Linked DNA regions of Oryzias latipes. The protein of the gene in region 1 purifies or fractionates together with the protein of each later gene. This does not show direct contact. Links are inferred from orthologs where the notes say so. Each region holds a gene or a part of one and is shown in the gene's direction. Other genes may lie near its edges.

Region 1 (2,863 bases):
CACTTTTATTTAAAGACAACCTGGGAATTTTGCATTCAAACTATAATGCAAACTGGTGTCGTTGTATCCCATAGATGGCCAGAACTCAGAAGAACAAGGCCACAGCTCACCACTTGGGTCTGCTCAAAGCACGCCTTGCCAAACTGAGGAGGGAGCTCATCACACCAAAAGGAGGCAGTGGGGGTGGAACCGGGGAAGGTGTGATTAAAAGCTTCAAATTTAATCTAGTTAATTTTTGAACAAAATGTAAACATTTGTCTTATGTTTACCTTTGCTGTCCAGTTGATTGTGACTTATCTGTGGCTTTCAGGCTTTGATGTCGCAAAGACAGGAGACGCTCGTGTCGGCTTTGTTGGTTTTCCTTCAGTCGGAAAGTCAACACTGCTGAGTAATCTTGCAGGTGTTTATTCTGAGGTTGCTGCCTATGAGTTCACCACCCTTACAACAGTACCTGGTGTCATTCGGTACAAAGGTGCCAAAATTCAGGTACTAGAATCTCAATATTTGTTTCACTGTTTCCAGAAAAAAAATAAGAAGTCGGAGTGATTGGTTTGCAGTGAGTTTGTATTTTCCTTTTTCTTTTCAGCTTCTGGATCTCCCAGGAATCATTGAGGGAGCCAAAGATGGCAAGGGCAGAGGCAGACAGGTTATTGCAGGTGTGCTCATTGTGCTTCTGTGCCACAACTAGACTATAAGAAATACTACTGTGAAAATGGAGCGATCCCTCACTCATATAGGCTTCAAATTTCATGTTAAAAATGTTCTATTATCTGCAAAATTATCTTGCAAATGTAACATATTCAAAATATTTTTTTATATTTTACTTTAAAAACTGCTTTCCTGTTTTTATTTTATTTGTTGTTTTTCTGCAGGAACACTAAGCATTTGATTTAATTTCCACCAAATTAATTTATTGTGTAAAATTAATAACCCCCCATGATATTTTATAGAATTTTTTACTCCTGCTGCACAAACTAAAAGGTCTTTCTTTTCTGCTCGCCGTTGTCTTTCCTTTGTCTTTTAGTGGCTCGAACCTGCAATCTAATCCTAATAGTGCTGGATGTGTTGAAGCCTCTTGTTCATAAGAAGCTAATAGAACACGAGCTGGAGGGCTTTGGAATCCGACTTAACAAACAACCACCCAACATCGGATTCAAGAAGAAGGACAAAGGAGGCATTAACTTTACCACCACAGTATGTCACGCGCAGCACACCAGGGCTTCACATTTACTGATGCCACCTTTCCTAAACAGTAGAGTAAAAAAGAAGTGCAGTGTTAAAATATAGATCACTTATTAATGAATGAATGAATATTTTAATCATTTTGTAATTTTTGATTTATTCTTGCACTCCAATGGGATGTATCTGAAATGATGTTGCAAAGTCAAAACATTTTGTACCAAAATGTTGGTATTTTTTAATTCCTGCACCAAAGCAAGAATTTCTCCATATATTTAAATTTACTTCTGATTTTAAATGCTTTAAATCAATAGAAATGTATTTTCTAAATGCTAGTTTGTGCCTATATGATTCTGTCTTTTTATGTTATTAAATCATTCTTTAGTGTTTTTTTTATTTTATTTAATTCAATATTTCTTTCCATCGCACAGCTCAAAGTCTTTGTCTTTTTTCTCTGTCTGTCCGTCATTAGTGTCCACAAACTGAGCTCGATTCTGAAACAGTTAAGAGCATCCTGGCCGAATACAAGATCCATAACGCGGATATCACTCTGCGTGCCGACTGCACCGCTGATGACCTCATCGATGTGGTGGAGGGAAATCGGTAAGCCTCTGAAGTGCCACAGCGCTCCTCAGTCATTCCCTGTGGGTGTGGCCATTAAGAATTCACATGTGAACCCCCTGACACTAGTGCAGGTGTATTAAAAAAAGAAAAAACTAAGCTGCAGGATCCAGCTTTCATACCTTCTGCTGACTCAAAAGTCTAGATTTACAAGAACAGATAAAATCTTTTTTTATTTGTTTAAAAAAGCATTGTGTGCTGTGTTAAGTGGGTTGTATGTTTGTGATTTATGACTGCACACACCAGGACTGCATTCATCTAGTTTATAATTTATTAGTATTAAAAGAAACTGTAAAAACAGTTTTCTTGCAGCTTTCCAGACATTTACTCCCGTTTGTCCTTGTCTCAACAGGGTCTACATCCCGTGCATTTATGTCTTAAATAAAATTGACCAGATCTCAATTGAAGAGCTGGATGTCATTTACAAGGTCCCACACTGTGTCCCCATCTCAGCCCACCACCGCTGGAATTTTGATGACCTGTTGGAGAAGATGTGGGATTACCTTAAGCTTGTGCGCATGTAAGTGAGGCTCTGACTTCAAAGGGTCCTCTGGGATTGAAATAGCTAATCTAGCAGGAACTATATGTTTATTACTGAACATTTTAACTAACTGATAATAATTTGCTTTTTTGCAGCTACACCAAACCCAAAGGACAACTTCCCGATTACACATCTCCCGTCGTGCTCCCTGACGGACGAACCTCCGTTGAGGATTTCTGCTTAAAGATTCACAAAAACCTCATCAAAGAGTTGAAGTAGTGAGTATTGTTGCACAAGCTAAAGATTCTGATGCAAAATTAGCTGTGTCTGTGTCACTTGGGAACATTGAAGAGGTCTCAGTTAATTTAGAAGAAGAAATAAAAATCCCATATGTCACGTTTCCCTGCTGAGGAGTTAAAGTACAACATGTTCTCTCTGGACAATGCATTTATGAAGTCCATTTCTCTGGGCCTGGCACTGATACATACACTACGGTTAAATGAGTTATTCCCCAAAGAACTATAAAACTAGATTCCAAGGCAGTTTATGCGGCTTTGAAACATTGTTTGCGGTCAAATGTCT
Region 2 (3,756 bases), about 16 Mb from region 1:
TAAGTCAGTAACTGCATAGTGGTTGACCAAGTTGTCACAATGTGACAAACATATTTGGCTGCATTGCAAGAGAGGATATTCGCTGTGATGTGGATGAGAATTTGTGGCCTAACATACAGGAACGACAAGAGGTGTAGGGAGACCACACCAATTCCTACTGCACTGCCTGGACTGTTGTACAGAATATTGTCCTATCTTTTTTTTCCCTTTGTGTTACTGTTTGCAGTGGGTTTTTTCTATGTTGGTGTGACATGGTCTGTCAACAAATTACAATATGAACAATGAAAGTGTAAATGTGAATCTTGTCCAGTCTCTTGCAATCAAACAAAAAAGGTTTAACTTCCATTTTACAATAATTGTCATCCAAACTTTAGCCATAGTTTCCATCAGAACCTCCCTCTAAAGTACACAGTTATATTGACAACATGACTAAGTCATTTGACTGTCTTGTTCATAGACAATGACACAAGGACTTGACATTCTGATGGCACTGACATGTTCAATGACATAAAGACTTAGTTTTGAGAGATGAACTAAAGATTTTGACCAAGTTACAGGCTTTTGCAAGAAATCCATAGTGTTTTGCTGTTTGTACAAATTGTTTTGAGAAATGCACACACGTATTTGCAAACTTCAATTCTGATCTGAGAATTGTACTAAAGCGACTGAGAAAAACTGTAACACCATTTGACGGCGCCTGTTCCCTCACCTTCAGATCATCTTGTATAATTGGGAACACTTCCTCCACAGGTCGTTGGAAGGCCTGATGTCCAAAGATCTTGGACTGCGATACGCTGATCAGGCCACAGGGGAGCAGCACAGCGGCATGCAGCAGGGTCATTGTGTTAACGTGGTCATTGCTGTGCAGCTTTCATGGAATATGACCACAACGTTATGAACAGGTGAGATGTTCAGAAGTGTGTTTTACGGCTACAGCCCCCACCCCAGAGTCCACAGTTTCTGCTTCTTCAACAGATGGTGTGTCAAAAGGGTTAAAGAGAGCCTCAAAATATTTCTCCCACCACCCAACAATATCATCAGTTGAAGTTAAACAGGTACAGAAAACATTGCAAGCGTAAATCTGTGACGAGTACACATATCCAACAACATCTTCAGGTAGATCAGGGAGGCCATTCCTTCCATCGCTCCCTTTCAGCTGCCAGACAGAGTCTCCCATCAACAGTGCCCCTCTTTAGTGCTCCTCCAAAAGACCTTGAGAAGGCTGGGTCCTCCAAACTGCTGTTCTGCATGTAGGCCCAGTCAGAGATCTGTTTCCCAGACAAAATTCTTTGGACAAAGAAGATCTGCAACAAAGTTCTGACGTGAAAATTGGACAGAGAAGTTTTACTTAAAGCCCAGCTTTCGGTGCTGCTTGACCTACTTATAAGAAGTTGAGATGACCGCCAAATTCCAAATACTTATGTAGTAATGGTCTTCCACCTTCATCAACAGTGATGATTCACACACACGAGTGAGGCCGTAGCTCTTGGGACGGACTGTAGAGCTGATCATACGCTGGCTGAGACCCTCAATTGCAGCAAAGCAAAGTAAGTGTGCAAAAAGACGAGAAACTCTGCAAATGCAAAGAAATGATTTCATCCATCTTCTTCCGTTTGATCCCTTTTGGGGTCACGGGGCTGCTGGGGCCTATCGCGGCCACTTGTGGGCAAAGGCAGGGGACACCCTGTACAGGTCACCTGTCTCACAGGCTAGAGTGTCTGCAATCACACACCCACACACTCACAACAAGTTAGATTAACCAATTAACCTATGAAGCATGTTTTTGGATGGGGGGAGGAAGCTGGAGAAAAAGCACACATGCACGGGGAGAACGCAATGCAAACTCCACACAGAGAGGGTTTAGGTCCCCCAGCCCGGACTTGAACCTCCTTGTTGTGAGGAAAGAGCGCTTACCACTCCACCACCGTGCCGCCCACAAAGAAATGCCACTAAATACCTGCCAGTATGGTCTGTGACATCCAAAGTTTACCAGCCAAATTAGACTTCCACTGGCCAAACATATTCTTTGGAAAGATCTTCTGTGTATTTCAATATAAAACAGTTGTTCCCTGTGTTTATTAACCCTTGTTCTATCCTAGGCACTTTACCATTGGGACTGGGTCATCTAGACCCACTAGACAGTGCTCTGAACCTTTTTTCTTCAATGATTTGTGATCTTCACTGGTGTCCATGGATTACATGAAATCTTTCCACCTTTATCCACCTTTGTCATGGTAGGGAGAACACCTCAATGGAAGGGGGGGGGGTCATCTAAGATAGCACAAGGGTTAAAGGATCGACTTTTTATCAAAGCCCTAATGTTTATTTCTACTTGAGGTTATTTATTCACAACTTGAACATTTTTTAAGAAATGATCTTTGTTCAAATCACAAATGTTTTTTCTAAGTTACAACAGGAAACTAAATATTAAAACTAGTGATAAACAGTGTTGGGAATCTTACTTTAAAAAAGTAAATAATTACATCGTAGATACCAGTTAAATCAGCCATCATGCTGTAATATCCAGCTCAGTGTAAGTACCGTAACCATTCGGCCTGCAATAACCGTTCGGGGTCCTTTGGACTGATGATAACGTCACACTACGGTGGCCCCACTTGGACAAACTACATAGCGTCCACATCTGCTCGGGCTCTACATATTTACATTTCACGTTTCCTTTTGTATTATAAAGTTCTTTTCCTTTGTAAGTTGTGTCTGACATTATTCTTTGTAATGTTTCAGGAGAGATTTTACCACAACCCACTTTGTAAAAAGATCTGTGGCTGTTAGAATGAACCTGCTGCTCCACAGAGAACCGTGTGTCTGAGCAGCTGCAGTCTCGTAGCTTCGTGTTTGCAGGCAGGGATGGTTCTTTGTTACAGTGTTCGGTCCGGAGAAGGGTTCAGACCGCAGTCCGCTCGGCTGCAATGCACTTAATAATAATCATAATAAAAGCACATTTAGAAGATACTCTTACTCTGTGTCGGAGCTCTGCTTGTTTACAACAGACTTCATAATATCTTCTCCTATGGTAGTATCATAATTTGTCCAGACTAATCACTATCTGACACGTCATCAGACCAACAAACAGCCAATCACATAATGGGACGTCAGCACTAGTCGAAGGACCCCGAACGGTTGTTGTAGGCTGAATGGTTGTGGTCCCTACTCTGGCTTGTTTGTTGATTTGTCACTGGAGCACACCCACCGGGGCTCGGTGCTTTGTGAGAATGAAAAGGTTTGGGTTTGATGCTTCTTTAGAGAAGAACGCTGCGTGCGCCTTTGTGCGTCCATATGCCAATCTGTGCGCCTGTGCCCACCAAAGCGAATTTCCAAAGAACGCCTGCCACTCTGCAGAAACTATGTCCTCAAAACGCAGCTTTTTTACTTTGGATGAAAAAAAAGGCATAATGCTATTAAAATACTACAGGGAATACTTTTACCACATATCAAAAGATGATTGGAGCGGGACTTAAACATTTCTGTTTCAAGTTTCACACAATATATTAGGTTCCCAATAGGTTCTTCCAAATTGTAAACTGACTTCTAGTGCGTCCGTCCTGGGGGAGGATCCCTCCTTCATGTGGACACCCCTGAGGTTTCTTCTTTTTTTCCAGAATCCGTATTTGTTTTAGGAGCTTTTCCTTACAGAGAGGGGGGTTCTAAGGGCAGAGATGCCCAGTGTAGTTTAGTCTGTTTAGTTCAGTTTAGAATTTTCCCATTGAATTTTATGTATTCATGATCCTTATGATTTTA

The links. Proteins that work in one complex are often made in the same cells at the same time.
Region 2: the proteins of drg1 (region 1) and ntmt1 purify together in Homo sapiens (affinity purification with mass spectrometry; 3 studies listed by BioGRID and IntAct, counting the BioPlex papers as one, with this or other methods). This does not show direct contact. The link is inferred for Oryzias latipes from reciprocal best matches to the Homo sapiens genes DRG1 and NTMT1.

Annotation. Positions count from the first base shown.
Region 1 is NC_019870.2:14,586,942-14,589,804, reverse strand, and holds part of drg1 (developmentally-regulated GTP-binding protein 1), read left to right. Parts: intron 1-74; coding exon 75-198; intron 199-310; coding exon 311-486; intron 487-586; coding exon 587-656; intron 657-1,024; coding exon 1,025-1,194; intron 1,195-1,651; coding exon 1,652-1,782; intron 1,783-2,152; coding exon 2,153-2,320; intron 2,321-2,436; coding exon 2,437-2,559; intron 2,560-2,863. UniProt on the Homo sapiens protein: Catalyzes the conversion of GTP to GDP through hydrolysis of the gamma-phosphate bond in GTP. Appears to have an intrinsic GTPase activity that is stimulated by ZC3H15/DFRP1 binding likely by increasing the affinity for the potassium ions.
Region 2 is NC_019870.2:30,133,409-30,137,164, forward strand, and holds the start of ntmt1 (N-terminal Xaa-Pro-Lys N-methyltransferase 1), read left to right. Parts: upstream 1-980; 5' UTR 981-1,055; intron 1,056-1,452; 5' UTR 1,453-1,547; intron 1,548-3,756. UniProt on the Homo sapiens protein: Distributive alpha-N-methyltransferase that methylates the N-terminus of target proteins containing the N-terminal motif [Ala/Gly/Pro/Ser]-Pro-Lys when the initiator Met is cleaved.